Lonchura striata: one gene and its partners. The protein of the gene in region 3 binds, or shares a complex with, the protein of the main gene of each other region. Links are inferred from orthologs where the notes say so. Each region holds a gene or a part of one and is shown on either strand. Other genes may lie near its edges.

Region 1 (10,832 bases), on a different chromosome or scaffold from region 3:
GAGAAGCTGACATTACCTAAGTCTCCAAAGTGAGCAGCTTCCATGTGACTCGGCTGCTTCTTGAGGGCAGCTGTGCGGCTGCTGGAGAAGGAGTCCATGTTGGCAGAGATGGCATTGATGGCCACATGGCTTGGTCCTGCAGCCTCCAGCAAGGCATGATTCCTAGTGCTTCTCTGAGGGGAATGTACTGGGATTGGAGCTGCAACCAAGACAGGAATGGTTAAAGCACAAGGACCCCAAGACCTCTTCTAAACATTGCCCAGTGCTAAGCACCCCAATATACACCAGGGAGTTTGCAAGAGGCAGTCTCATTAACACCTCACTGTACCCTGGGTGTCATCTTTGATCAAGGGTCTGTTTAAAGACCACAAGTTTTATTATTGCAAGAATAAAGTCACTCCCACCCACCTCTATTTTCCTTATTCAGCAGCAATTCAAGAGATGCCACGTCTAAGTTTACACATGAAATGAGTCTTCCTGCTTCCTTGATAACTACTGTAACAACTTTATACTCTGTCAACAGTTTAGTTTCGTTCCAATGCTCCTGCCAATCCATTTCCATGCATTTTTGAAAGCTAAAATGTGATAAAAAAATCCTGAACCACAAAGCTATCTGTGAGGTCTAATAGGAGTTATTTCTCAAAAATATTTTTGTTGCTTCTGTTTGGTTGCTAGAGAAAAAAAAAAAGCAATAAGGAAATACCTGTGATGAAACAAAGGTTATAAACTTAACCCCCTCTGGCTGTTTTAGGACACAAGTGGCCCAAAAAGAACAAACAAGAACTTCCTCACACAAAACTGAGCTAATTGTTAATTGATGACAAAGCTGAAAAAAACCCCAAACATGCTCACAGCAGATTCCAAAGCTCTCAGGAAGCTGTGTTAGATCAGGATGTCATGCAGGGACATCTTACACCTCTGACTCAAAAATAAAGTACATCAGGCGAGCTGATTATCTCAACACTTCCAGAGATGTGTTCCATCACGGTGTCAGGCAACTTGGGCTTCATGACTTCCATGCTGCATCACTTTATTTGTATTCCCAATTTTATGACAGCAGTTGACAATTTCACACTTAGATGTCACAGATACCTCAGGAGCAATGGAAACATTTAAATTACTGCCAAGTGTTTGTGCAGCTGCAGGATTGGACACCAAGACACCACTTGCTGCTTCTTACAAAGCCTCTGGGTGTTTCATACCAGCAGTAATGGAGAAAATACCTTTTTTTCAAGGCCAAGGGATGGCAGCAGTGGGAAAATTTGGTGGAGATCACTTGTGTAGAGCCAGAGCCACACTCCTCATAATGCTACAGGCTTTTGTCAATTAGATTTAAATTTAATTTTATATTTTGGACATTTGAGAAAAAAATGTTCTGCTCTCTCCAAGGGTCAAACAAAGGTGCTCTCTGCTGCAGCGGCTCACAACATGCAATACTATAAATTTTCAAGTTTATTTTTATTTTCAGGGTCACCATACTGATAGTTGCACTGAAAGGTGAGGTGTGGCTATGAAATGGATGTAACTCACTGTTTCCTGCATTTGATTTGAAAGACAGACCACCAAGAAAAACACCTGCAATCTTCTCCTGATGTGCAGATAACACATTACCCAGTACAGAAACAAGATTTTGTCTGAGGGTATGAAAGTAACAGATCAGATTCTGGCATTTCCCTCATCTCCTTTCAGTACTGCAAGAAAATCTGACAGGATCAGCAAACTTGTTTTCCTGCAGTTTATAAATCTCTTCTCCACCACGATCTTTTCTCCTTTCCTATGAGATTTAGCAGCAAGATTTCTGCACCCCACAGAGCAGCAAGGAATGGCTCATCCAGGATTTGGATCTTCAGCCTCACAAGGCCCATCCAAGTTAAATCTGCAGCTTCTTCTGCAAATCAGACACAGTGAGGCTGCACTTTCCAAACTCCAAAGGACACTGCAGCTGAGCAAGAAACTCCAGGAGCAGTTTGCTGTGGATGGGAACAACCACCACGTGCAAGGTGACCGGAGTGCCTGATGGCTTTGAATTAAAGCTCACGCCTGACATAGCTTAACAACCTCCTGCACCTACAGATTCAGCAAGAGGAGGAGGAAAGATGAGTTACCATAAATACCCAGAAACAGAATTAAATTCTGGGTTTGACGCACAGGTCAGATCTGTGCTCAGGAGTAAAGAATGATCCTGTTGGGTAAGATAGAAATGGTAAATGATGGCAGAGATCTGAATTTACAGACGAAAGTTTGATCTTACTTTTAATTGCTTTCACATCTGTGGTCTTTTCTTGTTCTTTGCCTTTCACTGTAAAAATACAAGGGAATATGTTAATGCTATTTTGGGTCAATAATGGCATTTACCTGAGAATGGACATAGAATTCCCAACATCAGCAAGTATCACAGGCAGATAGAAACTCTAATTTTCTTAATACCCATTTCTCGTTTAAATTGCACATCCAGTAACTGACAGAGGCTTTCAAAGCTTTTCTGTTGACTTACTTTCAAAAGCAAAACCCATCCATTAATTAAGTTTCATGAAATACAGTCTGTTACATTTCTGTGGAGGAAGATGTTTGCTGTCAGTAGATTAAAGCTACATTCAGGGTGACTTTAACAAACAGCATGAACTGGGAAGTAGGGAAGAACTGGGAAGTAGGGAAGATGTGTTTTAAGTGTAGAGCACTGGCAGGTGCTGTCTGTGAACCAAAAATCACCTGAAAACAACATTTCCCTTGTGTTACAGGAAGAGCAGCACAACACCCAACACTGAGGAGATGTGGGCTGGCTCTGGCTCCATGGAGCTGCTTCCATGCCATGATGGGTACCACAGAAATGCTCTGGAAACTCCCTGCAGACAGTTAATTCTCTTACAAATGGTCTTGCTTAATCATCATGAAAGCCCGGGTGAGCAACTGATGGGGAGATAACAGTGCAAAAAGTTATGATGGAAAAGTGCTTTGAGGATTTATTTTTTAAAAAATATTAGTATTTTTTAAAGGAAGCTCCTAAAGGAATTGAAGAAGGAGATCTATTCAAAACAAAAATAAAGAAGCCCAAGCAGCACACAAACAGGATGGCAGAGAAACAAATGCAGGGGGGATACTGGAGAATGTGATCTACCAGGGAGGCTGCTCCAGGCAAGGATTATTACTACAAATAGGTCATTCCTGAACACCCACTGAGGAGCCCTTCCTCAGTGCACAGCCCAGCACAATCCCACATTTACATCACAAAACACATCCAAAACACCACCCCAAGCGAAGCCTTCCTATCCCCACCTAAGGATGTTAAATATTTTACAGGAGAGCTCCGGTTACATAACTGCCCTGGCCCGGTGGCTGCAGCGCTGCCTGCCAGCCTCCCCGGCGAGCACAAACGCTGCAGGGCTGCAAATCTGCAACTCGGGGTCGAAAATTGCAGCTGCCAGGGAGCTCACTGTGTGACAGAGGGGTTGAAGTGTGCATTACAAGAGGAGGATTCCCTCCACGCTGACCTGCAGCCTGATGCAGCACGAGGGAAACCAGCCTTTACATAACTGGAGAGAAACCAGAGGGAAGCAAGCAACCTCTATGAACTCTCATCCTTCCCAAATCACTCCAGTATTTCATCAAACCGGTTCCTAGCTATCAGCAGCAAGTCCTGGGTTTCACACAACAGCCCTCCATAAGCCTATTTTCAGTTTAAATACCTCTGTTCCTTCTTTCCTCCCTAAATACCTACTTACTACTGGAAATACAAACTCCAGGGTCGTGTCCCAACCCTTTCCACACAGGCTGCTCCTGTCCCCAGCAGCTCTGAGCACGACCAGGTGCCATCAGTAACAGGAGGGGACAAAATCAGCTCTGATCCAGGACAAGCCCGAATTTCAGAGAGTGAAGTTGCACCACATGAACTCACTTTCACTTCCCCCAAAAAGCGGATGCTGTGCGGTGCCTGTGTGAAACCAGAAGGAACCACAGAATGGGGACTGAGGGAGAGATTTCCAGTGGCCAATCCCCTTCCAAAGGGTGCCAAAGCAGCACATGACATTCCAGAGTTGCAATTCACATCCTGAAATGCTCTCAACAAACTCAAAAAGTGTTCACAGTGTGTCAACAGCACACAGAAAACAACGAGATCCTGCTGAGGTCAGCCAGGCTGTGGGACTGCACGTTATTCCCAAGATATCCCAGGGATGAGCTGGTCCACTGGCAGCAGTTTCATAACTGCCCTCAAGCGCCCAGCTCACCTGTTATATTTTGATTTCTCAACCCATTATCCACCCTCAGTCTGCCAGACCTTTATTTTGAGGCCCAAGCTATAAAAACACTTCACCCTGATATTTGATTTTTCTACAAGCTTTATGATTCTTGCTATGGTTTAATTTAAAATTAGTCTTAATTTCTACCCACTGCAATATCCTCTTAAACAACCACAGCTCACCCCAGGAACATTGGTGTTTGTAGGATTTTGGCCTGCACGTGGCCAGAGTTTTATCCTAAGCCTAAATGTGCTGCTTCCCTCACAGCTTCAGTTCAAATCTTGTCTAAAAGCCACACCTAAAAACGGAATCACACCAAGCAGTGTTTTATGCACAGCCCAGATGAAAGGTTGCTTTTCTCCTCTCCTTCACAGCGTCTCTGCATTTAGTGCTGATTTGCCTTTCTGACCAAAGATCCTTTAATCAAAGGAATACAGATCCTCAATTACACTTCTCAGATAATCAGAGCTTTCATGGCTTTCTCCCTGAGAAGGTTTCCACACAAGCTGACCTTGTCCCTGTGATCCCGCGTCAGGAGGGAACCTCAGCTCCACAATTCTCAATGAAGCAGCAGGAGCTCTTTTTGAAGAGTTTATAACCACTATCAAAGTTTTATTCTGCAGCCCAGTATTTGTATATAAACACCCCAAAAAGGATTGCAAAGCCCTCAATGGCTTCTACTCTTCAGATCTGCTACGTTTAGACTCATTTCTCGCACAACTGCTGCACTAACCTCCCCAGAGTGACATTTTCAGTGCTGCTGCTTTGGCTGAGTGAGATCCAGAGGATGTGAGAGCCAAGAGCATCACCATCACCCCAGGTACCACGTCCTTGCCTCCCAGCATGTGCATTTTGGGTTCAGAAACACAGAAAGACTTTAGGACAGCGCTGCATCAGAAGATCAGTGCTCGAGCTACAGCACCACGAGGAAACAGAACTGTCCCAAGGGGCCCTTCCTAAAAGGTGCCACTTGCAACAAAAACCACCCAAACCACAGCTGGGCGGCTTGAGAGCTCTGGCCCTGCCTGCAGCACGGGCACAAAGCGCCTTCAAAACGCAGAGAACACTTAAACTGCTCCCATTCGTGCTGCTGGGGCGTTACAAATATTTCAGCAGCCCTGAATTTCCCAGCTCCTACTGCAGAACGAACTGCCGAGCACTCCTTGGGCTCAGCGCGACGAGGTCCCTTTTCCACCGACACCTTCAGCTCCTGCTGTACATTCTCAGCCCATTCTCACTGTCACAAAGCCGGCCGTGCCAGCCCTGTGCAAAACGCATCTGCAAAGGGCTCCGAGCGCGGGAGGTGCCACAGCCGCTGGCGGAGCCGCGGGCAGCCGGGGCCGCGGCCGCTCACCGGAGAGCCCCGAGCCCCCCGAGGACGCAGGCACTGACCGTCATCGGCGGGGAGGCCGCTCCTCAGGGCCCGCGCGTCCTCGCGGGGCCCGGTGGCGATGCCCGGCGGGGCAGGGCCGGGGCCCGGCGGCCGCGCAGGGGACGAGCCCGGCGGCCGCCCGCCCGCCGCCGCTGCCCTACCTTTCCGCCTGAAGAAGGACATAGCGCCGGGGAGGGGGGCGAGGCGGCGGCGGGGCGGGGGGAGGCGGGAGGGGGGGAAGGCAGCGCGCCGGGCCCTATGAATGAGGCAGCCGCGCCCGCCCGCCGCCGCCGCTCCCTCCGCCTCTTCCTCCCGCGGCGGCGCCCGCGGCCGCCATGTTGTCAACACCGGCCCCGCGCCCGCTTCCGGCAGCGCCGCCCGCGCGGCACGGCGGGATGCGGCCGCACTCAACATGGCGGCCCCGGCTTCACACCCACCGCACAACGGGGGCCGGGCGGGGCCGCCATGTTGGGTGAGGGCAAGAAGCCCGCTGGGGTCCAGGGCGGCGGGGCGGCCATCTTTGATCGGGGCGGGGGGCGCCGGGCGGCGTGAGGCGCCAGCCGCCATCTTGGCTGAGGGCACGGGTGACCCGGGGACGCTGCGGCAGCTCGGGCGCGGCCCGCGGGCAGGGACAGAGAGCCCGAGGACAAGGGACACAGAGCCCGAGGACAGGGACAGAGATCCCGAGGGCAGGGACAGAGCCCGAGGGCAAGGACAGAGAGCCCGAGGGCAAGGGACAGAGAGCCCGAGGGTAGAGGGACAGAGCCCGAGGGCAAGGACAGAGAGCCCGAGGGCAGGGACAGAGAGCCCGAGGGCAAGGGACAGAGCCCGAGGGCAAGGGACAGAGAGCCCGAGGGCAGGGACAGAGAGCCCGAGGGCAGGGACAGAGAGCCCGAGGGTAGAGGGACAGAGAGCCCGAGGGCAAGGACAGAGAGCCCGAGGGCAAGGGACAGAGAGCCCGAGGGCAAGGGACAGAGAGCCCGAGGGCAAGGGACAGAGAGCCCGAGGGCAGGGACAGAGCCCGAGGGCAAGGACAGAGAGTCCGAGGGCAGGGACAGAGAGTCTGAGGGCAGGGACAGAGAGCCCGAGGGCAAGGACAGAGAGCCCGAGGGCAGGGACAGAGAGCCCGAGGGCAAGGGATAGAGAGCCCGAGGGTAGAGGGACAGAGAGCCCGAGGGCAAGGGACAGAGAGCCCGAGGGTAGAGGGACAGAGAGCCCGAGGGCAAGGACAGAGAGCCCGAGGGCAGGGACAGAGAGCCCGAGGGCAAGGGATAGAGAGCCCGAGGGTAGAGGGACAGAGAGTCCGAGGGCAGGGACAGAGAGCCCGAGGGCAAGGACAGAGATCCCGAGGGCAGGGACAGAGAGTCCGAGGGCAGGGACAGAGAGCCCGAGGGTAGAGGGACAGAGCCCGAGGGTGGAGGGACAGAGAGCCCGAGGGCAGGGACAGAGCCCTCAAAGCCCTCAAGGCAGAGACAGAGCCCTCAAGGCAGGCACAGAGCGCTCAAGGCAGGGACAGCGGGCGAGCTCCGTGCAGGGCCGTGAGGGCCGAGGCCCTGCAGAGAGCCCTCAGCGCCGTGTCCCACAGTGTCCCCGTCACTGTCGGACGGACACACGGACACACGGACACACGGCCAGTGCCGGTGCCTGTCCCTCAGCCATGGGCCGGGGTGCGGCGGCTCCTTCGGCCCAGCCCGGGCCCGGCAGATCCAGAAATGCCCAGGGCTGCTCGCCCCGGGATCACTGCCCGATAAGTCAGCTCCGTCTGCCTCCCGAACCCTGCACTAAAATCCTCTTCATCATCCTCCCCAGGCAAATCTGCTCCTCCCGCACCTACCAGGGACGTTTGTCACCGTGACACGGCGCTCAGGTTGATATCCCAGCAGATCTCTGCTCCGAAAGCTTTACAAACACTTTGTCAAGACTGTGATTAAAAATTCTGGTTTGTGCGTGAGGAAACAGGCACGGAGCCAGAGGGTAGCTCTGCCATCCCCGTGTCACCCCTTGCCATGGAACTGTCCTGCCCGTGCTGCCCGAGCCGTGCCAAAATGATGTAATTAATAATCATTGCCTGAGTTTCTGCACCGTCTTGCATCCAAGTGTTCCAAAGCTCTTTACAAACACTCAGTAATTAAGACTCATAAATGGGAAATGAAATAAAAGGTGCACGGGGATCTTCCAGGGCTGGGATGGAGCTGTCTCCTGGGCGGGATGGTACCACTGATCAACACCCTGTAGCAATTGCATTTTCTCTTTTGATATTATTTTTGTTAACTGGTGCTCTTTGATACGGTTTTGTACACATGCCCAGAGGCTGGCTGAAGCATAATGAACTAATTCTATATGGTTTCTGAATAATGAATGGAATTATTTAATTGGCACATAACCTCAGAGACTGCTAATAGACTAAAACATTCTGAAGATGAGCAAATTGGAAAGAATGGGATGACTCAGAGAACACTAAATTAATAGTCTGCCAAAAATGTTGCACCCAATCCTCTTGGGTTTCAGGATATATACATGGGGGTTGAACAAGGGTGCAGTGATTTACACAAGAGTTTGACATGAATTTCCTTCCCTGGATCGAAATTTTCTCTCTTTAAGGAATTCAGAAGGGCTGAAGCTCCAATCCAGAGCTGCTCACTCAGCCTTGGACCTGGATCTGAACTGGAAGTGTGAGTGACAGCAGGTGCTGGAGTCTTTAACAGAACGTGACAGTTTAATAATCTGAGCAATCAGTTAAATATCACTTCAGGACATGGGTTGGCCAACGTCAGAGAAGCTGAAGGACTCCTCCCTAAATGAAAATATTCAAATAAAAAAAACCAAAACAAAACAAAAAAAAAAAAACACAAAACTGTCTCACTGCTTGATTTTTTTCCCCCTCTCCACAGCTACAAAAAGAAGTAAACTTTAGTATTTGAAAAGATCTGAATGGAATGATCATGTTTGGACAGATATAATAAAGCAGAACAAGACTTTGTTGCCTTGGATAATTAATCACGGGGCACTGCTCTGCTCAGTTACAGCACAAACCCACAAATGTAACACGTTAGAGGCCATTCCCATTTCTCCCATCTTTGGCATACTCCATTTATTCCCATGATGTTGGGATTCTCTCTCATATATAAAATTCTCACTACTTTGGGAATACAAATACCAAAAATTATATGAGTAAGGACTTTAACAGCTGAGATCTTGCTCTGGAATAAATAATAATATCCTAAACACATCAGGAACCAAAGATGTCTTTGCACAGAAACTCACGGCACCTTCAATTAGAGACTTGTGTTTTACTCCTATTTTTTTTTCTTAATGGGAAAACAAGTGTCTGCATGCCCACACAAAATTCCTGGCAAGCCTGGCTGTGGCTGACCTCAGTCCATGAACCTCATGGGAACGGGAGCGTTGGTACCTGTGCTGAGCATTTCAAAGAAGGGAATTCTCCCACGTCCCAGCCTGGCGAAAATTAACTGCTTTTATTAAAACACTGCAATTCCTCCCTGTTCCCTTCCACGGGGCACATTCCCAGGGAGGGAGCCTTGTTCAAGCAAGGGGTGAAGAGTCTCTGCCTGACTCCCAGTGGGTGAGTTAAAACTCGAGGTTTGAAGTGTAAAATGGGGGCAAAAAGGTACAAGAAAAGGTTCAGTCCCAGCGGGAAGAGCCGTGTTGGTGACCTGCTGCTGCAGATGTGCTGGGCAGAGCTCCGGGAGCAGCACTGAGCAGCAGAAAGCAGAAAATTCCCCTCTCCAGGTCCTGAGCTCTTCCCAGCTCCTGCAGGAGCGGAGCCTTCTCTGCAGGGCTGGGAGCCACTCTGGGATTATTCTGAATTTGGGAAGGCAAACGGGCTCGTTGGCTCCTCCACCCTGCCCAGATGGCGTCGCCAGCGCTGTGTGGGACTCACCTCAGATGACCTTTCTGCAATCCACAGTGTTTCCCCCAAATTCTTGGCCATTCTATGGCGTCATAAATACTTGAAAAATAATAATTAAGTTTAACACCGTCTTCTGTTTCTCCGTTATTTTTCCCCCCACCTTTTGCTTATCTAAATGCCTGAAGGAGTACAAGAAGCGATGCAGCACATGACAGCACTCGGGTATTTCTTCAAACCAGGGATATGGGAGGAAAAACAAGGCTGAGTGTGATTTTGTCCCTTCAGAGCTTTCCTGAGCTCACAGGACGAGCACCGTCCGCGGCATTTCTAGAAGCAGGACGCAGCCAGGGCCGCACGGAGCCGCGGCGTTACCGGGGGCTCTGCCGGGGGTCGGCGGTAGGAGCGGATGATGCGGCGGCGCTGCCGCAGCACTCCGGGCGCGCACCAGGAGAGGGTGCCAAGCCCCCGGCTTGTGCTGCCGGGATCCGCACGGGCTTCCCAGCACTCGGAGCCCTCTCCAAGCGCTGAGCTTAAAACACCAACCAACGCGCCCTGGATCTAAAGGAAAATATATATATATATTTTTTTTTTTTTTAAACCAAAAGCTGCCCAAATGTCATTACCTGTTTCAGCGCTACCGGCAGTAAGCGCCAGAAACTCGCCCGAGGACAGTAGCGCAGGATAAAGACATTTTTTGCTACATTTTAAAAAGGATCTGATTTTTCATGCGGCTGATGGACGTGGGACCGCTCGGGGGAACAGCTGAGCTCCTGGAGACCGAGAAAACCCGTAAGATCTGCGAGACACATACATAAAACATCAATCCGTGCTGCACGGGCACCGTAAGGTTCAGCAGGAAAAAAACCTGATCCATGAAGTTTTTAGGATGACTGTTCTAAAAATCCATCTGCACTGGGAGGCGCAGCTTTTACACCTCAAGTGAACGCAGGCTCCCGGGCAGCCGCTCTGCCTCCAACACCTTGGAGAAACCTGCGGGATTAGAGGATAACACCTGAGCCCGAGCCGGCGCACCCCCACTCCGAGACCTCCCTGCCACGGGGGTTTCAATCCCCCGCGCGGTGCCACCCGCGGAATTCCCGCAGCCGCGTTCCGCACGCGTGTCCCCGGCAGCAGCGGAGCCGCAGCATCGCCGTCTGCGGCCGCGGAGGGAGGGTTAAAAACACGGCCGGTAATTAACCGCGGGAATAACCCGCTGTGGGAGCCCCCAAAGCGTGCGCGCAGGTGACCCCGCTCCCCCCGCCCCGATTCCCCCCGCCCGCCGCGGGTGTCGCAACCGCGCCCGTCCTCAGCCGCGCCCCGCGGGGGGGGCGGCGCAGGGAGCGCGCAGCGAGCG
Region 2 (10,282 bases), on a different chromosome or scaffold from region 3:
AGGTAGGGAAGGACAGTGGAGGAAAAAGGTTATTGTAACATTTAATTTGTCCCAACTTGGTTGCCTATTGGCCTTTGGGTGTCAGACAAGCACAGAACAGCATGAGCAAACAGATCAGCTCTGTTAAAAGAGAGGAGCTGACCTTCACGAGTGTGTCTTTGCTTCACACTGAGCTCAAAACTGGGAGCAAGCACAGCACTGTCCTTGCACAGGCTGCATGGTGTCGATGCACACTGACTGAATTAGAGATCTTCACTTACTTGTATTTCCCCAGCCACGAGTCTGCCATGATGGCTCCAATGACAGGTGTGAAATAACACAGCGCAGAAAAGGCATGGTACACAGCAGTGGAGAGATTCTCATCCCAGTGGAAGAAGCTTAAGAAATACAGTGTCAGGACAGCTAAAAGGAAACAAAAAAAGAATCATATCAGATAATTAATGTGTATATCTGCAGGTAAGCAGGATCGTGGTGGTAAGAAAACTACTGATTTGTCTAGCAACTGAGTAGTGTGGTGGAAAGATCTGTGCTTCCAGACCTGTTCCTCATAATCTCTAACACAGGAGAAACTAAAATGAGATATATGAGTATCTGACATCCTTTGCTCATAAACATTTATGTTTAGCTGAAAAATGTATTTTCTAGCTTATCTTACCCTAACCTGTAGTTCTGTTTATGCACTTTTTCTTTTTGCAGATTAGGTGCCTGTAAGATTCAATTCCCAAGCACACTGATTGCACATCAACTATGAAAGACATCACACAGTAGAAAACCAGATTTGATATAGAAAATTGTATAATAATTTAGACTGGAAGGTACATTTGGAGCCCTCTAGTCCCAACTTCTTCTCATCTTAGATATAGCAACAAAGTTAGGCTACACTGTTCATATGTGCATTCCAAAATATCAATTAACTTTGAAATATAGCTGATACTACACACAGCACTGCTCAGAAACACCAATGCAGTTTGTGTAAAGACCTCAGGACAGGAAAGTCACAGGCCACATACCTCGCATGCCATAGTAGGAGAAGCGCTCACAGAACTCGTTTACCACAATGAAGGCAATGCTCAGGGGGTAGTTGGAGCCACACAGTTTCTGTGGAAGACAAACAAGAATGTATCAACTGTCAAAGCCTTCATCCCAGAAACATATTCTCACAGTGTCTGGGTGGTGGAGAGGAGTCCAGTCCAAAAATCAAGTGCCCACAGCTGCTTGACTGGCCTGTGAGCTGGACTCAAAAAAGAGAGTGGACCTCACAGTAGTCTTGCATTGATTAAGGCTCCCCAGTGAATCAGCCTGGCTGACATGAGCCCAGTAAGGACTGCCATGGGGATTCGTGGGCAATCAGCAGCCCACCATGCTTGTAGCTCCAGGAACTCCACTGGAAGGGTGCTACCAACTCTTGATTGCAATGCTAAAACATCACTGAGACCAAAAGAACACTTTTGGATGCCTTTTCTTCTGTACTTTATATAAAGCTACCACCCTGCCCCAAAACTGCTCCCTCTTCTAGTACCAGACTTTGCCTCAGAAACAGGGAGACCCCAGGGATCTGCTGTCTGCTTCTGTATATAAAGCTGCTACCTCTCTCAATCTCTGCTCCTCACTTGTGCTGAGCTGTGCCACCACTCACTGAAGCAGAGCATCAGCTCTCTGTCTGGCACTCCCTCAGGCATGGCGTCCATTTCATATTCCAAGATTGCTGGCACAGCTATGGTTAATTCAATTTATTAATCAGAATTTTTGAATAAAGCCAGTGATGGGACTGTCAAGCCTGTCTAAGTGTGGCCACTCTTTCTCTGAGCCTGGCTTTACTGCAGCTAACATCAGCACTTCCCAAGTGAAATACAAGGCATTAAACAGATGAGTCTTGGCATGACCCTGTGGGGGCCTCTGTCCCTCTTGCTACCCCACCGTGGTCTGAGCTAAGCAGCTTTCAAATTCCAGCTGCTTAGTGGCTCCACTGCCTCACAACAGGAAAGCAGGTTTGCACAGCACTGCCCAGCCTCTGCCAATTAGTAGGAGAGGGGCTGGCCATGGATTTGGCAAGGAATCTGGAGGAAGTGTGATATTAACAGATACAACTATACTTATAGATTTAAACAGCCATGGTATGGGCCAGTGAGATGATCTCTTCATATGCATTTCTGTGCTTCATGTCAGAAAGAATGAATTCCTGTATTTCTTCCCAGAGTCCCAAATGCAAATACAGTACCAAAATAGATGTGTTTATTCAGGTTTATTTTACCACCAAGAGACCTAAGCTTATTTGGATTCCCAATGCAATGGCATCAAGTCTAGAAAAGTATAGCTTAATGATGCTGTCTTCCTCAACATTATGGAAGAGTAAAAAAACAAACAGAAAATCAAAACTCCACAACTCCCACCTCCCCTCTACTTTCCATTACTTAATCCTCTAAAGACAAGTATTTTTGTCCATTTTTATATATATCATATATTTTTTTTTTCTTATCAAAGGGTTGCCTTTTTATAAGAAACCCTTAATCTTTTTGCTTTACTAGAGTAAATACATAATTATCCATTTCATTTATGATTTACTCTGAAACCATTGTGCTCAGCAATATGGCTTGTAAGAGTTTGCTCCCTTGGAAACTGCACTGGGCCTCCTGCTTTTAGAATAGCCTAAAAAAAGTGGCATATATAAGCTGTAAATGCACAAACACACAACCATATGCACACACAGAATATTTTTCTCCAACAAGTTTTTCATAATGGAAGAAAATCCATAAGAGGCAGATTATGTTTCATGTTTGCGCTGGGAGGTGTTTTATGAAATTGGAAGTAAAATTGTACAACAGGGATTTTTTTCTTCCTCTTCTTCCCAGACCTTACTATACATACTCATGGCATTTAATAAGGTGCACAGAGTGACTGTCCAAACCAGGTGGACAGGTGTCAGGAGTGCTGCTGCCTGAACTCACCCCTCCACACCCAGTGCACAAGTTCCAGTGGATTTATTTGCACGAGTTTAAGGTGCAGTGATTCATTTCAGCCATTCCTGCTCTGGAATGGGCACTTCCTACAGACAAGCAGGGGCAAGGAGGGAAAGGAGAGCAGGGGGCAGTGACTTCCCAGCTAAACCTCCCCAAGTGCCTGAGCAAGTGCTTACAAACACAGAGCAAGGACTTACAAGCAGGGGTACTTCCATCTGGCTTGTGTGTCATGAGATGGCATCAGCACGTGCACAAACCCTCATGTATTCTCTCCACAGTACCACTGACCTGCCTGTGGCCTGCCTGGACATCCAAAAGGGGGAAGCTTTCATCCATGCAGACAGCCAGATGCAGTTTGCTTGCTTTTGTGGAGGAGGACCGTGCTCAGCAGACAGCCCCAGCAAAAGCAAAGAGGTTAAGCCTGGATTCATGAACACACAGATAGTCTGCAGTGCTTAGCTACCACAGCAAACCTGGGATCTGTGGGATTATGGATCTCTTAAAGATACTGTGGAAGTTGACAGACTGTTTCTTTGAAAAAAAGAAAGTTCATTTAAAGTACCCACTACAGGAGACGTTTGTTTTCAGCTCTCCTTCTTGCTAACTAATGGCAAAACAGGATAAAGATTAATATTTCCCAGGAGTTCTGGATATCCAATAGTTAATGTCTGCACAGTAATTAAAATTGAGTTAAATAATTGGTTTGCTAACAGCATGACTGTGACTTTTAAGACTAAGTATTACATATTATCCTGCAAGTCAAAGCAGCTACAACATAAGCCAAATTCTTCCTGAATCCTATGCATTGAACAGTTTTTAGGGGTCAAGCACTCAAAAAGAATTAGTCTGAAAACTGGCACAAACATCAAAGCTGCACAGCAGCAACACATTCACCTGAATAAGGCTATAAATCAGAGGCAAAGATGTAAACCTAAGGCTCTGACACCACAATTGGGCTCTCCAACACTCACCAGTGGCCTGTCCTCAATCCCTGTCCTTCCTTCTGCTTTTCATCATCTGGGTACCCTTCCCTGGTGGGTTTCATCAAACTGAAGAGAGTTCAACTCCCTCACTCCTATGCACAACAGCCCCATCCACTTCAGAGATCTAAGTTTTTCCTCACAAGGAAAGTAGTTTTCAGAAAAAGGCAATAAATCCCTTACCCTTTTCCCCAAACATTCAGTTAGTTTGTGTTCTCCCTTTAAGCTGCACTTTGTTAACTTAATCAGGTTAGTGGAAGGATTTTTGCCTTGAGTTGTTAAGGCTTATTTCAGCCCTCTGCAAGAAAGGGTGTTTGTCTCTAGCCAGAGCACAACAGAGGAGAGAACACAGGGATCTTGCAATGTTTAAAACAAGCTGAGCAGAAAGCAAAGCAAAGCAAAGCAAACCAGCAATAACACTTACCGGAGATTTTTTCTGAAGAGGGAAATCTCCTCTGGGGGGATCATCTCCTGCAGAAATAAAAGTGAACAAAGTTTCCTTGGATTCGTTTCTCTGAAAAGCGTTCATCTCCCCTCTCGCCTTGTCTCCCACCATGCTATGTGGCTGTGGTGAGTTGACTGGGAAGATTTCCAACCTCAGGCACGAAGTTTGATTCAGTTTGAGTTAACCCTAATTGAGCACATTTGTGCAGCCAGGGCAGAAAGGGGAGGGAGATGCTACCAGGAAAGATAATTCCAGAGTTCAAGAGGAATCAGGGAACACAGCCTAAATCAGTCACAGGTTGAGGCTGTCAGCACTTTGTGGCACAGTCCTCCCTGTTGTTTGGCATACCCCCAGCTATTTTACGTGCACCAGCCCAGCATGGTGCTGGATGCTGCACAGATGTGAGCTGAATAAATATCCCAGGTCCCAGATACACCTACAGCCTGTGGATTTAGAGCAGAGCATGCATTTCCCTCCCAGTGTGGTAATGACAGGTTTACTCTGCAGGGATCTTATTTCACTGGAAAGCCACACATTCCAAGACATAACTACTAAAATGTTCATCACACCAAACCCTTGGACGCTGGATGTCACAGATGCCTGCACTGTGATAAATCATTTCTTTGCTACTACAGGAGTGAAGTGACCCAGGGTTCATTCCCACATCAGTTCCCTAGAATGACCTTGCCTTTTCCCATGGGACAGTTTAATCAAGTGTGCACAGCCAGCACCCAGAAGTAGCCCCAACACCTCTCTCTCCTTTCTATTTTCCAGAAGACCACTTTGGCGCTCCATATGTGACATATGCAGCCCATCTCTGCTGGGAGTCCCTAGATTCCCCCTGCAGCTACATGTGCTCAGCTCCCTGCAGGTACACTGTGGTCCCTCCTTCCATGCCCTTCCCATGGCAATAGTGGAGCTTGTCATCTGCATTCTTCCAGTGACAGTTGCAATTGCAGAGCAAAACTCACAACCTTCCCATAAACTATCCTCAGTGCTTGTGGCTCTGCTGTATCCTCAGTGCAGTGCAGAGGTTTTTTTCTTCCTCTTACACTTGGCTTCTTTAAAAGGCAAATGTTCAAAGAATTTTCTCAAATATTTCTCCCTTCTCTTATCAGTAATGCACAGACCACACCCAGAATCCACAGCTGGTACAAGGAGTCTGCATAAACTCATCCTTAGTGCAAGTATCGAGTTGCTGATAGTGCTTGGTTATCACAAGAACCAGGTTTGCAGCTGATGAACCAGGAAAGAGGCCTTTGGCCACACTACAGATCCTTAATCTGGCTTCAGTTATTGCTAACAAGACATGGAGAACACTTGTGATGGACTGCACAAAGGAAGTATAATTACTATCCATCATGTACTCTGGCATTGCTTCCTCTGAAAATCCCCAGAGACCCCATTTCACTCCTACTAACTGGGCAGCTAAACACGGGGTCAGCTGACTTGGAGGCCAAACTTTAGATGGTGCCAGAAAGTTCTACCCCTTCTTTGTTCCTTTTATCCTCTACAGCAGTGGTAAAACAAGAGTTTGGTACCTCATCTGGTACTGCCACAAACCAGCTCCTTGTCTTCAGCCCTCCCAGTGACCTGCACACATGCACAGCCTTGCTTTTCACCTGGGTGCAGCCTCTAGGGAGCTCAGGTTTATCAAAGCCTTTTCATGGGCATGAGTGCTCAAAAGCAGACCCAGAGCTGGGGGCAGAACAGGTCTTGTTCACATGGATCCTGCCCCTCCACACCAGGTTAGCACCTACTCCAGTCCTGCAAGTCTTCACCCCCTGCTAGAGGCAGCAAAAATATTTCTAAGCCCTCTGCTGGCATCTCATGCCCCAGGTATTTCTATACGGCTCCCAGTAGAAATCTGCTGTATTCTGTCATACACAGGCAAGCAGAGCAAACACAGCAGCAGAATTACTAAAGGAATAATAAAAAAGGAAGACAGGAAAGGTTTCACCATCCCTTGCACATGCTCCCATGCTGCTGCAGTGTGATGCCTTAATATTATTAGCCTCCTGCAGCTGTATTTCCTCTGTGTATATACAACCCTGTGTGTCACATAAGCTAAATTATTATTTTTTTTAAATACTAGCATGAAAAACCCTGTCAGTCAGTAGGATTAACATACTACTTGTCTAATGCACTGCAGAGCTGTTTAGGCCACTATCTGCCAGAAGGTCTTCTCAGACAGAAAGGAAGAAAAGGAATTCAAATGTCTGGCAATAAATGGTAACTTGTAGCAAACAGCAAAAACAAGTTTAAGAGAATAAATTTGCAAGCACAAATTTAGATACAGATACAGAATGATACTTGATAGAAGGAGACCTGTGTGACTGGACTGAAAATCAGGAAGGAATTGTACTACAAATGGAAATAAGATGGCATTTCTGAAGACAGGTATAGACAAACAGATCAAACATGAAGAGGTAGAAGTGTGCCTGCAAAGCTAAGGCACAAAATAAACTACAGCTAGCAAGGGGACATAAAAGGCAATAAAAAGAGGTGATAGAAATGCTGTCAATATTGGAGAAAGAGGAAGGAAAAGGAAAATCTGTTATTTAAACCAGAAAACAATCATCCAGAGAAGCCAGGAAACGTGTGTCCTTTTTGTTATTTTTTACTAAAAAAATAAATTGCAACAAAGGTATGCAACACCTTTTAAATTAACCAGCAGGAGTATGTGTGAAATGAGACAAAAACTGCTTAAATAATATTTGGATATCTCAAATGTGCTCAGATCACCAGAGCCTGATGAAATTCACCTTCAAGTGCTGAATACCACATTGAGCCACTTCCCTTGTGAAGGGAAAAAGCAGAACAAGCATCATCACTGCCTTTAAAAAAGCAGATTGTTCCTCCAGGAGTGTTCCTCCATAGCAAGAGAGATACTTGATCAGATAATCCCTTCTAAGCACCAAAAGGAGAATATGGATTACAAAACAGCTATTTCAGATTGGAAAATGTGCTCTCAAACCAGACTGTTTTATTCTTTGGTAAGTGGAGTAACAGCTAGAGCAGCTCTGTATGTGATATATCCTAACTCCAGTGCCTCTGATCTCTCACAAGGAAATAGGGTCCATATGAAATGCTCATAATAGTGGACAACTGGGAAATCTCTGTAAGAGTATCAATGATTTTCCATCACATTAGGAAAGCATGAAACATGCAGGTCCTTAGCTTTTCCATTATCAAAGAAAACTTCAGTACAGTCAGCATGGTGTTCATTTGTACTCAAAACTAGGGTAAAGAAGCCTGGGAGACAACGGGGTATGAACTCAAAATGGTGTTGCAAAATGGGAGAAACTATTTTATGACTCTGGAATAAAACCGATGAAAATCGAGAAAGAAGAATACCAAATGGCACTCCTTTCCATTGACAGGAAAAACAGCCAGAGAGATGAACTATAATCCATTTTTGTTGAGGATAAGATGAGAGAAATCACTGACTTTTTTCAGCAAAGACTATTTGTGGCTCCTTTTTCCAATTTCCCTGTCAGTGAGGACAGATGAGCATTGGAATAGAGATGGTGTGGTTCGGCCTGCAGGGTTCAGACAACCCATGATGTCTGTTACATAAGAACGCGTTAGGGACTACATAAATATCAGGTCCTGTCCCACAGCAGGCATATAGATGAGATGCCCTCCTGAGTTTCTGTGAAAATCTTGTGCCAAACAACTTCACCTGGTAAACATGAAAGCAAGGATTGCTTTCTGTAAGATTTCCTCTTTTTTGAATTATCCCTTATGCAACTGGGGAGTCTGTAGGATGATTCATGCGTGCATGTTACATTCAGCTACCAGATGCCTTGCATAGCCAGAAGTTTCCATTAATACATTTTTCTATGACTTTCAGTTCATAATTTTTTTTTTCTGGTTCCCAAATCCTCAGAAAGAGAATCTGCATTTTCATATTGCTTTTACAATCTTCACATTCTCACCACTCCCTGCTGCAATACTGTCCACATTAATCTGTGTATACTCAACTGATCTCTTCATTTTTACCTCCATTCATCTCTTGGTACAACCCCTTCCTAATTTTCAGCTTAGCCGCACTTGTATAATGAGTCTTATTTTTAATTCATATCCACCTGCCATACGTTTATAGCCTTTTACCATATATGTATTTCTCTCCTCTTTCTCTGTTTCTGAGATAAAGTTTTAAGAAACTAGATGAATGTGTGGCAGCAACACTTTGGGCTTAATGACCAGACCCTGAAAGGACATGATAACCTCTGGAGGTCTCTTCTGGCTTATTTTCTCCAATTCTTTGATCACAAGAAAGATCAGGGTTTAACTGATTTATACAGATCAAGAGTGGTTTCCATTGCCTGCAGACTTCTCCCAAACTTCAAAGTAATTTAAGAAAATTATGTATCGAATCATTTGAACAACCAGGAAAACATGCCAGAAGCCTTCAAACCCACATCTCTCCTCTATTCCCCAGCCATTACGGACTTAAAATTGTAAAGGTATTTAGATCAATACCACTAACAATATCAAGTACCTAATTTGCATTTAAGAGCCTGTCATCTGGTCACAAGTCAACCTGTAACAATCAGAGAAACTTCTCATCCCTCCTTGTGCCTTTTTGCCTTCAGTTTCTCCTACTATCAGCAAGAAGAAATCTTTAAAAACTTCCTCACCAGCTTGGGCTTCCTTTGCAGGCTTTGGTGTGCAGTCCCCCTCTGCCATTCCGTGATTTGGACGCCCCCAGCTCCGTTGTGCCTGAAGATGAACCTCGTTAAGCAATCCCGGCTGTCTTTCACTCTGCTGTTAATGTTTCACTTCTCAACAGCAGTCCTTTGGCCACCACTAAAATAGTTAAACTTCCATTTATTTCTGATCCAAAATCATCTCTGCTCAGCTCTCAAATGTCATAGGGAATCTGCCTTTCTTGAATACAGCCTCTGAGGCTGCATGGCACCTTTCATGGATGTTCATGATCAGTCATTTTGCACTACAGCTACACTATCTTTCAATAAAATTACTACTTCTGATTGAGGATAAGGACTGGCTCTGTGTCTAGACAGGATCTACAGCTGGCCATAAATCCAAATTTTTTATACTGTACACCAACTACAGAGTCGGTCTTAACTATACATGTCGTTCACTATCATAGAATCACAGAACAGTTAGGGCTGGAGGGGACATTCAAAGTCCATCCATTCCAGCACCTCTGCAGGGACATCTTCAACTAGATCAGGTTGCTCAGAGCCCTGTCAAACCTGATTGTGAATGTTTCCAGGGATGAGGCGCCTAGTGAGAAGATTACAGTTTTGAGAAAACACAGAGTTTCACCAACCTTTGACAGACTGGCTTCAGTCCCCAGTTCTTCACATATCACACAGGAAAGCAGATATAACACTGACAAGATGTTCCCTCTTTCAGACTCTTTTTCACCTTCAAGCCATGAGCTGCCTGAAGCAAAATCAATAATTTTTCTACTGCACTTCCACTCCTTTCTGCTTTCCCCCATAACCTCCTGAAAACTGCTGTGATTTTCTTTCAGAGAGGTTTCAGGGAAACTCTTCCACAGGGGAAAACCCCAAATATTTTCTGCAGACATAGAAATAGTTTAGAATGAATTCAGCAGTAGACTAAATGGGGTCTCCATCTCCCAGTATTATGGCCCTGAAGCCATACGCATCCTTCAGCTTTTTATTGCACTCAAGTCCCTCTGCTTGAAGGCCCCATATCTATCATCATCACCTCATGATAAAGTCACGGATACAAACAGGCAGTCAGTTCCTGATGAACTCTGCCATTAGCTGGACATAGGATGAGCAGTGGAACTGGGCAGGAGGACTAGAAAGGTGCACTAATGAAACACTGAGAGACACCTGAATTTAAGAGTGAAAAGAAGCATACAACAATACCTACAATGTGCAATAGTGAGA
Region 3 (10,758 bases):
TGATACAGACTTATCTATACCACTGCTTTAGATTACAGTGACGGGAGTTTCAAGTTTCTGTCACTCATGATCCTCTTCTGTCTCCCTGTATTACTGATTCTGAGGTGAGATTTTTTTTTTTTTTTCCCTGTCTGTTCAACCTCTCCAAGTCTTTCTCTTAGTCCTTTCTATTCTAATGGGTGCTCTTTTTACTCATCTTAACCAGTGTCACTCTGCTGGTGGTGTTGCAGTAGCTCAAAGCAACACAGGTGTGTATGATTCCATAGTTAGCTGTGTGCACTGAATGCTGCTGGAATGCTGGAGTCTCATGGCTCTCTGAAATCTCTTCAGCTCCAGCTGTGTTTTAGCAGTGCCAACAGCGGAAAGCTGGAAGCCTCATTAGCAATGTTCTTTGCAGCCAATTAGTGAAATTACTTGCACAGTAAATTTCCTGAGTTTTGGACTTCTTCACAGGAGAAAGGGGACTACTGTCTAAAATCATGAAATCTTCCCTGCTCCATGCTGACTGTCATCAGAGGCTTCCCTCTTCCTGCCCTGGAAACTACATTGGATGACTTGCCCTCCTGCCATTAGCAGCATTTCCAGGACTTCTGTTCAAATGAATTCAAATGAATTGATTTAATAGGGTTCCTGGCAGCAGTATACTTGTGTTATTTAAAGTTCTTTGGCCTGTCTTGATGGCCATGTTCATTGAGAGGCAGTTCAAGAGGCCGCTTGATAACACAGCCAGCACAGAGGGCTACACTGGTGTGCTGGTGGTGCATGAACAGCAGCTCCCAAGATTTACTGTGAAGTGCTTAAATCAGCCAGCCTGGCCTCCTCAGTAACCCTGATAGGTTGCTGTAAAAGTAGGCCAGAACAGAAGATAAATCAATACCTTTTCCACCACTTCCTCATGGGTGTCATTTTCCACATTTTTCCCATTGATTTCAATCAGGCGATCGTTATTTTGGACACCAGCCTTTGCAGCTGCTCCTTGTGATGAAAGCTCTACTATGAACAACCCCTTCTGTCCTAAAATAAATGAAAACTCATTACACAGGGCAAGTCACTGCAATAGGCCTGAATATAGTGGTTAAGGAAACTCAGCACTGATGTCCTCGGAGATTCTTGGTCTCTGCTTGCACACATATTACAGGAGCACCACAAACCTTCCACACAGACACTCCTCTGTCTCTTACTCTGGCCTGGAAAAATCCCTTCAGTGGTAGAGGGAGATATTCGTTCACTATCTGCAGCTCAAAATGGTTTTTCTTTCCCTACTAGGGGTGAAAAAGGGCTGATTAACATAGTTGAAAGGGATTTGCATCCTGCTCCCTCCCATCCTCCACTTCCCCCATTATTTTGAAGAGAGAAGCTGCTTTTACTGTTGTATTATGCGTTTCATAACTTCCTGTGTTTGGAAGCCTTCTATGTTTGGTCTCTCAATTATATTGGATTCCAAAATAGCCTTTAGAGGGCTCTTTAGAGGTGGTGCTTTCCAGAAGACCTCCCTCTTCCGTTGACTGGCCTTGGAAAAAAAGGCATATATGGAAAAGGTTCAAAATCCTTTTCTTTCTAGATAAATTAACTTACAAATCAGGGAAAGTATTTCTTACAGCTGTCTAGAATCTCATGTGCTGATTCCTGAGGTGATTTTGAGGAATGGAACAGGACTTAACATAGCACATTGAGTGTGTATCTAGTTTGGTTTTGTTAAGTGGGCTTAAATAACAAGCAGAAAATAGCTTATTATTTTTCTCTCTCTCTTTTTTTTTTTTTTTAATCTGTTTTCCACCCCATGAGAAGCATGGTCCTCAGGAAACCTTGTGCTGCATATGCTGTACAGAAGTGTTCTGGAGATAAATCTGAACTCATCGTGCTACTCCTCACTTTCTTTCTGTTAGAAAGAACAGTTTGTGTCTCCGCACTAGCCCCCACATATTAACTGTGGTTGCCTCTGTCCCTGCAGCCAAATATATACATATTTATATTTTATCTCCAGTTTCTTCTCTCCAGGCTCTCACCTTCTATGCTTTTCAGGGAGAAGCCGTAGCCTGTCTCCTCCTTCACCAGGTAGCAGAGCCGGGGCTGTGGAGCTGCAGTGGCCATGGATGGTGGGCACTGCTGCTCCTGCTGCTGTCCTGTGGATGCTTTTTGACCCAGCTCTTCCAAGTTCACTCCCTCCTTTTGTGCCTTTTCATAGGATGCGTCATCCAGAACAAGGAGCACAACGGAATTCCCGCTGTTTCTGACCATCTCCACCACCTGTAATGGACAAGGGGAAATGGAAGCAGGCACTGGAGTGATGGAGCTAAAAGCTTTACCCAGGAAAAGCTGCACTGTCTACTGCTTCTGTTGTCTCACCCCCTGCTCATGCACTAGGGAGGCATCCCAAAGACATTCCATGCCCATGGTGGGTAATGAACGATACAGGGGGATACTCAGAGCAGTTGACTCTGCTCCTGGGTTTCCTAGCCATAAAAACTGGAAGAAAAAGCTTCACACAGCAGCTGTGGGCCTGGGGCATGGTGTGGATCCCAGCCTGAACAGATTTGTACCTGTGCATGTTCCTCCTTGTCCACGAAGACACCGTTGACCCTGAGCACTCTGTCTCCATCCTGCAGGCCAGCCCTCTCGGCCGGGCTGTTGCGTTCCACGTTCCGCACGATGTGCCCCGCCGTGTCCTGCTCGATCCGTAGGAAGAAGCCGTATTTCTTCTGGGGCTTCTTGCTCACTGTGCACTCTCGGGGCTGCAGAGCAGGAGTCATCTCTACCAGACAGGATGGAGAAAACACCTGTGAGTATGAACAGGAAGCTTACCTGGGGTGTATTCTCCCTAATTGCATATCAAGAGGGTTTGCTTCAGAATTCTTGGGGTGTTTTTTAGGTTTTTTTTTTTTTTTTTTTTGGTTGGTTGGTTTGGATTTTTTTGGCCCCAAAAAAAACAGCTGTGCAAAGCTGAGTTTAGTTAACAAGACTAGCAAGAAGAATCTCTGACCCTCCTTGCTTTTTTTCTCTCTATATCTCACATGAAGTTAAGCAAAATGCAGAACTGAAATAAGGAAAGCCTGCCTGAAAACATAGTAAGGATTGTAGAAAGGGTGTAATACCAGGATTAAGTCTTACAAAGGAAATGAAGTTTTGGGAAAAGAGAATGGAGTGAAGGGATTGTTCCCCTCCCTTTGACACTTGGGGGACCACATGTGAATACTATCCCCAGTTTTGATCTCCCCAAGTAATTACCATATTTGAGCTAGTTCACAGAGGGAATTTTGGTTCTGAAACACTTATTTAAGGAGGCTGAGAGAGCTGGATTTGTTCAGTCTTGGGAAGAGAAATTAAAGGCAAGATCTTCTTGATATCGTCCCACTGCCTAACTGGATTGTGTGGAGAACACAGCCAGACTCTTCTTGGAAATAAACAGTGGGAGGATGAGAGGGAACAGACAGGCTGCAGCACAGCAAGGGAAATTCCAACCAGACATTCATAAGAACAGCTTTTCCTCTTGGGGCCAGTCAGGTATGACTAGAAGTGTCCAGAGAGGCTGTGAAATCTCTGTCCTTGGAGATACCTGGATTGGGCCCTGAGTAACCTGATCTAAGCTGACTCTGTTTTCTATGGGACATTGCACCAGGCCACCTCTAAAAGTCCCTACCTAAAATGCTCTGGGATGTGAAGAAACTGTGGTTTGGGTGAAGTTCGTCATGCAGGAATACCATGTATAGAAAGTAAATAACAGGTGGGGCCAGAGAACATCTCTCAAAACATTGTCCTGCTGAAGATCCATGAAGATGGGGGAACGAGACAAATGAAGACAAATTCCTCCAGTTGTAAAAATCCAGATAATTAGCAACCTTGGTTACTATTTTACTGGAAAGACTTTTTTTTCCCGTCCCTTTACTGACAGAAGTCAGTTCTTTAGATCTGCTGGCAGTCAAATCCTTCTGTGAGAGCAGCTTAGTGCAGAACCACTGCTGTAGCTACCCACGGTGCAGACTCTTTGCTGCACTGCTGATGTTACTTGGGCAGCACATAGAACAGCATGGATGTGTGGGGTGAGTTTGGCACAGATGTCACTGGAGCTGGAGAATACAGGAATTTCAGTTTGCAAGGATATGCATCCTGCAGAGCATGATTCACTTGTAGTCCATGGACCAGTGCTTTGAGTATTTTTGAGTCTCTGTGTATTACACTGACATTAGCTAATATTGGGATGAACTTCCCTGCTATTTAAACATGGTTTAGAACACATCAGACTGTATCAATTGCAAGTACCATTCAAAGTAGCTTTTCTCGACAAACACTGGGAATCTGTGATAATTCATAAATTAAGATGCAAAACCAGTACTACACAGAGCTGGAGAAACAGTAGGCTTCTATGAGAGAAAATTATTTCTTCATATTTAGAAGTGGAGAGAAGGTTACAGTGCACTGCATACAACACCTTTTGATCCATGCAAAATCATTTGTCTTGCAAAAATAACTTTCCAAAGGGAAAAGGGGTTAGGAAAAAATGAACTTCTTACCTGTATCAATGTAGAGCAGCCTTGACTGGAGTTGTCTTTTGCCGTTCCTCCTGAGCTGTACGTATAAGTAAGACTGGACTTTGATTGGGTAAAGGTTGATTTAAAAGATTATTTATTTAACTAAGTTTCACTGAATGTGTGATACTTTGATAGGCTATCTTGTCCTTGGGGGCAGAAGTGCTAATCACGTGCATTTCTCATTAGCTTTGCATTTTGTCCTACTGATATTATACTCAAAAACTCACTCAAGGAGGTCATCTGAGGCAAGCCTGACCTTTGTCTGGGCTAAAGTCTTCTGCTCTGAGAAATGTCTTAAAGTGAGCAGGTTTAGGTGCTGCTGGATTGACCTGGGCCAGCAGCATTTGCTTGCAGGTTAGGAAGTTACTGGTTAAAATTTGCATGCCCATTGTTGGATGGAAAAATAAAAGGCTGTGCCAGGTTAACCTTGACCAGCAGCCAGATGCCCACTGAGCCACTTTCCTCTACATGGGGACATGGGGAGAAAACAGGATGGAAAAACTTGAAGAATTCAAGATAGGGACCATGCCTGGGAGAGATGCATTGGAAAAAAAAAGGGTTTGTGATTTGAGGGGTGGACCCTGACTGTTGAGGCCTTAACACATGTGAAACATGTACTGCAATCAAGTGACCTGTGTAGGTACAATCTCCCTGGAGCAGGTGGAGGGAGGTGCTTGTGATATCAATATGGTGAGGCATGGCAAACTGGCTACACTGTAGGTGCACTGGGAGAGGCTGTGTGGGTTTCTCTGCCTTGGGAAAAGGCAAGTGCGTTTGTGGGATTGTCTTTGCTCAGGAACCCAGGTGCACTTGGTGCAGGAGAAAGTGGAAATCTGCTGTCTACCTCAAGGAGATTTACCCCTGGCAGAAAAGAATCCATTATTTGAGTTGTGTGATATAGGAAGGAATACAGCAGGAATCATCTGAACCAACAGAGAATGAGCCTCACCAGGAACCATGTGAGTGCAGTGCTCACCCACCCCAAGTGGTCTTGTTGCTTAACAATCCAACGTGGTGCTGTCCTGAGTGATCCCCTTGACAGATAGGGCCAAAGCAATTGACTGTTCTTATGGAAATTTGGGGGAGGGAGGGCGTGGAATGGGGGAATACTATCTGCATATATGTCAAGAGACAAGGTATAGTGGTTATAGAGGATGTGTAAACCTGACTGTTGGATGTAACAATGGTTTAGGTACGTAGTATAAGTTGTAAATGTTGGTAAGAAGCAATTTCATGAAGGATAAATAGATGGAATGAAAAGGTTTGAGTAGGGCATAGAAATGAAGCAATGTATGAGTGGCACAGAGGATACTTTGATATCTCAGATCACACATGACATGAATGGTGTGGAATGAGGAGTTGGAACTGTACTGTTCTGGCTGGGGTGGAGTTAACTCTCCCCTGGCAGCCTTCATGCTGCTGTGCTTTGCATCTGTGGCTGAGACAGTGTTGATACCACACCACTTTTTTGGCTGCTGAGAAACACTGTTTTCTTCTTCTTGTGGCTTTTCTCCCCTTCACTCCTCCTGGACTACAGGGAGGGGACAGAGTGGTGATAGCTGACCTGAACTGTTCAAAGGGATATTCCATGTTCCATACCATTTGATGTTGTGCTCAGCATTAAAAGCTTGGTAAAAGGAGGAGGAAGGACAGCTCTTTGTGGTTGTGGTGGTCTCCCCAAGCAGCTGTTGTGCCTGTTGAAGTGTGGCTTCCCACAAAGGTAGCTAGAGATCTGCCTGCTGATGGGAACCAGGGAATGAATTCCCATTTTCCTTTCCTTTCCTTTCCTTTCCTTTCCTTTCCTTTCCTTTCCTTTCCTTTCCTTTCCTTAGCTTTCCTTTCCTTTCCTTTCCTTTCCTTTCCTTTCCTTTCCTTTCCTTTCCTTTCCTTTCCTTTCCTTTCCTTTCCTTTCCTTTCCTTTCCTTTCCTTTCCTTTCCTTTCCTTTCCATTCCATTCCATTCCATTCCATTCCATTGAGATAAGAATAGCTTTATCCTTATCTCAATGCATAAGTCTAGCCTTTTTTTTATTTTGTCCCCATTCAGCAGGAGAGGAGTGAGAGGGAGTCAGGGTGGGTGTTTGGCTGCTGGCTGGGGTCAGCTGTCAAAGGGCATAGCTTACCCATGATCCATGAGCATGTGCAGGATATACTTACGGACTTGGACTGACCTGAGGGTTGTTTCTAATGTTTAGAGGTGGAAGCCTCTAAATTTGAGATACCAAGGTAATTAATAAACTGACCGTGTGAACTTCTTGTTAAAAAATCTAATTCAATTTTAAAAAGCTTTAAATCTACTTATTTCTCTCGTTGACTTGCTGTGGAATTGGATTATTAGAAGTAATACCTGTGTTTTCCCCAGCTGTCTGCTGCGACTGTCTAATTCCAAGGGAAGGTAATAGAAGAGATCATAACCCAAATGTGCTGCAACATGACAGTCATTGGTGTTGTAAAAGCCTTACTGTAATCCACTTACCCTAAGTGGATTTGCAAGCTGTTGTGGTTTGGAGTTGCTCCTTTTGGTACAACTTCAAACCCATGAAGTGAAGTAAGTGAGCCCCGGTGTTGTAGGAACCAGACAAGTCAAACCTGCCCTGTCCTCTGCTTGCAACCTTTCACACGAGTCATTCTGGGTGATGGAGACATCAGAGTGCCTCATCAGCCAAGATGGGAACTCTACAAGCATCTCAGGCCAGCACACAAGGAAACAGCACCTGATCCAAGTTTTATTTTTTAATTGTAGTGCCACTGCCATAGTCAGGTGAGGTAATTTTGGGTCCTGACAGGATTTTTTTCCAAGAAAAAGGTGCTACACAAATGTAAAATGTTAATGAAGCTCAGAAATTCAAAAAATTTCCTATCCTTCCATCAGAAGAATGAAAATTATTTGAGAATTGCTCAGAGTAAAGGCAGCTTGTAATGTCTCCTTTTCTTCTCAAGCATATTCATACAGCTACAAAAAAGAGGATCATAATTAAAAAAAAAAAAAAGAGAAAGAAGATATCTTTTTAACACTGTGACAAGTGGTAAAATCTGAAAAAAAAAACCCTCTTAATTTACAATATTCCTATATTGCAGGGTTTGGCAACAGTGACTTAGGTGGTGTGGTTCTATTGGCACAGGGACTAGACCTTAGGGCGTCAGCTTTCTCCAAATTATGTTTCTTTCCAACTGTATCCTGGTTGTAGTGATACACGAACCTTTGTTTCTAGTGTCATGGTGTTATCCTGTGGGATAACATTTACAAAATATTTTCTCTAATTCTTTTTTGCCAAAGCTTTCCTGATGTTTAGTTAGAAGAAATTCTGTAACTCGTCTGTATTAGCAAAAATGGTCAGAAATAAGCATTTTCTAGTAGTTGTAAGTGTTCACATTGTTTTCTCAGTGTGTTGGGTGAATGGAGGAAAGCACCTTTGTTCTTAATTTTGGTACTTGCTGGGATCTCTGACTTTAGTAAATTCACAGGTGAACTATATCTTTATTATGAGTGTAAATTTACAAAGTTCAGTTGACTAAAAGGTGCCTTTTGTTATTAACACAATATTACATTGTGTCTAGCCCTAAAATGAAATTAATATACTTCATATGTTTGGTCCTGAAAATAAAGTTGTTCTCAAATGCTGTGTAACACTGCCAGTATTGTTCTATTGACAAAAGGTTTATGTGGTTATTTTGGTGTAAAAATGTTCCTTCTTTGTTATGGTGACTCACTTTCTTACCTGGGAGCATGTACCTCCCTTAAAAATGGATATGATGAGGGTTTCTAAATAGTGTTTGTTCACCTATTGCTTACTCTAGACTTGCTGACCACAGGCTCACTTCTCTCTGTGCAGTGCTCTATTTTTCTTGGATTCATAACACAGCAGTCAATGAAAATTCATGGTTAAATATTTGGAAGCATACTTTGTTTCTGTCTTTAAGCCTTTGAAAATCACTGCAGCCCTTTCCCTTTGCCCATTTTTTTGCCAATTATGTTTTTTCCACTTTTGTTTGGCAATTGTTTTATAAAGCACCGTGTGATTTGGTAATAGAAATATTTGGTTCACTGAAGTTCTCTGTAATCATGAAGCAAAGTCCATTTGAGCTACCAAATGAATACTCATGAGTCATCCTGTAAAAAGACAAGTGGTAATTAATTCTCTCTCTTCTAGTGACCACATTCTTCTGACATGGTAAAGATACTCAGAGAAAAAAAAGGAGGGGAAGCAAATGTTGCAATCCTACTGGTTTGCAGCATCCTAGAGGAAGGGGGGAATACCCCACCTTCGAGCATTTTGGGCTTGATATCTTCCTAAAAAGTAGGAGAGGGGAAAAAATTAATTTGCTGTCCCTGTGTTTGCAGCAAAGAGATTCTCTATGCCCTGGACCTGTCAGCAAGGAACTACAGTGGCAGTCCTCTTGCCCCAGGCTTTGGTCTTTTGTGCTTTAAATATTGAATTGTCTTCCCTACTGGCCTTTTTACTGGAGAATATAAACTCTGAACAATGCTTTCTTCTCTAGAATGTTCTGTATTGATTATGAATTTGGGTTTTAAGGTGCAGAATTTACTACTGAGTTAACTATGAGCTCCTTCTTTGCATGTCAGACTGAAATCAGTGTTAAAAACCTGGAAATTTCTGTTGCAGCAAAAATTCAAAGGTCTTAAAAAGGAGGACTTATGCAAGCTGAGTGGAGTTTTTTGGTGGATTTGTTGTAGTAAATGGCAGTACACAGGTGGATATATTTATGTGCATGCACAGCACTCAGGCTGTGTGCAGCCCTGCCTGGGTAACTGGACCTGATGTTGGGGTGATTAATGCTGCTTGTATGGAAATGCCTTTGGAATTCTCCTACCTCCGGCCCTGGTAACTTGAGAAGACTTTTCATTCCAGCTCATCCCATTGGACATTTTCATTTTCTGGATGTGTATTTCTTCAGTTTTGCCTTTCATTTGCTGTATCATTTGGTACTCTTTGGACATGCATGATGATGAGACATAAAAAATAATGTCATACATTTACAAGTCTGGCTTTTCCATCCAGCTCATGGATTTTTCTTATTACTACACTATGTATCCTTATGTTTTGTTTTTTTTTTTTTTAATTTGACCTGTGAATGAGAATGGTAAGTTATTTGCCTTTCTGTTGCATGTGCATTTCTTGCCCTTTGGAGACAGATTTCTGAATTTGATAGTAGACTGTGTTCCTTCTCTTTTAAGCTTTTGAAATGTATAAATAATAACCACTATGTCTAATTTAGTATTTTCCTCAAGGAGTATGACAAGAAGGTGCTTATACAATCACCAGAGAGAGCACATCCTCTTCCTCCAGAAATACAGCTCAGTGAGACACTAATTATCCAGGCCTAAGGCATCGATTTCTTCTCCTCTTCCCTTCTTCCATTCCTCTTCCTGCTCCCTGTGTCCCATCTCGTCCCACTCCACCCTGCAAGTCTGTAATCCTTCAAGGAAATGCCCCCAATTTCTGCATTAACCTGTCTGTAGTAGTCAGTGTTTAATTTCACTTCGCTAGTAAAGACTCTATCCTGAAATTTCATTACCCTAAGATGAGGCTGAACTGATGTTTGGAATGCTTGGGTGCTTTAGTCTCAGCTAATTAGGACCTAACTTCAAATTTCTCATTGGGTGCATTCATTCTTGCAGCAAGAAGGATTTAAATTGGACTAGCATTCATTTACCTTTCTATCTGAGATCAGTGAACATAATGGAAAAAATCTGAATGTAGCCTTAAAGGCAAAGAGAAATACAAACTTCCTGTAGGTTTCCATCTTCTTGGTTGCTGTATATTGGCTTTTGTGTTGGGAGAACTATTGTGTTCTGCTCTGATGAGGCTTTTGTGATGCTTATAGAACTTTTAATAGAAACGTGAGGGTGGATAATGCCTGGTCTTTATTAGTTCTTGTCACTTTGTGGCTTTGAAAGGCTTGTTATCTGTTATCACAAAAAGGAAATGGCTTCTGCTATGTTTGGCACTGCAGAAATGCAGAATGCAGCCCTTTTCCTGGGTAACTATTGAAAACCATTATTATAAGCTTTGGGAGGGATATAAATCTAGACCCTATTTGAACTCGAGATTAATAAATAAAAAATAGTATAAAATTAAATTATTTTAATATAGTGTAAAAGCCGGTAGAATTTGTATGAGCTTCTATTTATTATTTTAAAATTCCTTCCAAATAAGCAACAGACTCTACCAGGAAACCATGCCTAAGTACTAAGGACAGGATAAATCTTA

The links.
Region 1: the proteins of PDZK1 (region 3) and AKAP10 are in contact, whole or in part, in a crystal structure (PDB 3TMH), measured with the Homo sapiens proteins. The link is inferred for Lonchura striata from reciprocal best matches to the Homo sapiens genes PDZK1 and AKAP10. Residues at the interface, in NP_001188254.1 of Homo sapiens: Asn386, Gly387, Tyr388, Gly389, Phe390, His391, Leu392, Asn393, Ala394, Ile395, Arg396, Phe402, Lys404, Tyr436, Glu437, Val440, Ile443, Gln444; in NP_009133.2 of Homo sapiens: Pro655, Leu656, Glu657, Lys658, Ser659, Thr660, Lys661, Leu662.
Region 2: the proteins of PDZK1 (region 3) and SLC15A2 are in contact, whole or in part, in a crystal structure (PDB 6EZI), measured with the Homo sapiens proteins. The link is inferred for Lonchura striata from reciprocal best matches to the Homo sapiens genes PDZK1 and SLC15A2. Residues at the interface, in NP_001188254.1 of Homo sapiens: Asn386, Gly387, Tyr388, Gly389, Phe390, His391, Leu392, Asn393, Ala394, Ile395, Arg396, Gln407, Tyr436, Glu437, Val440, Ile443, Gln444; in NP_066568.3 of Homo sapiens: Glu723, Thr724, Lys725, Lys726, Thr727, Lys728, Leu729.

Annotation. Positions count from the first base shown.
Region 1 is NC_134622.1:8,536,649-8,547,480, reverse strand, and holds the start of AKAP10 (A-kinase anchor protein 10, mitochondrial), read right to left. Parts: upstream 5,791-10,832; coding exon 5,628-5,790; intron 5,596-5,627; exon of another isoform or gene 2,352-5,595; coding exon of another isoform or gene 2,300-2,351; coding exon 2,252-2,299; intron 200-2,251; coding exon 17-199; intron 1-16. UniProt on the Homo sapiens protein: Differentially targeted protein that binds to type I and II regulatory subunits of protein kinase A and anchors them to the mitochondria or the plasma membrane.
Region 2 is NC_134610.1:11,473,216-11,483,497, forward strand, and holds the start of SLC15A2 (solute carrier family 15 member 2), read right to left. Parts: upstream 4,768-10,282; 5' UTR 4,494-4,767; coding exon 4,362-4,493; intron 1,099-4,361; coding exon 1,011-1,098; intron 403-1,010; coding exon 261-402; intron 1-260. UniProt on the Homo sapiens protein: Proton-coupled amino-acid transporter that transports oligopeptides of 2 to 4 amino acids with a preference for dipeptides. Transports neutral and anionic dipeptides with a proton to peptide stoichiometry of 2:1 or 3:1.
Region 3 is NC_134604.1:14,073,650-14,084,407, reverse strand, and holds the start of PDZK1 (Na(+)/H(+) exchange regulatory cofactor NHE-RF3), read right to left. Parts: upstream 4,564-10,758; 5' UTR 4,509-4,563; intron 2,753-4,508; 5' UTR 2,751-2,752; coding exon 2,541-2,750; intron 2,248-2,540; coding exon 2,007-2,247; intron 1,015-2,006; coding exon 878-1,014; intron 1-877. UniProt on the Homo sapiens protein: A scaffold protein that connects plasma membrane proteins and regulatory components, regulating their surface expression in epithelial cells apical domains.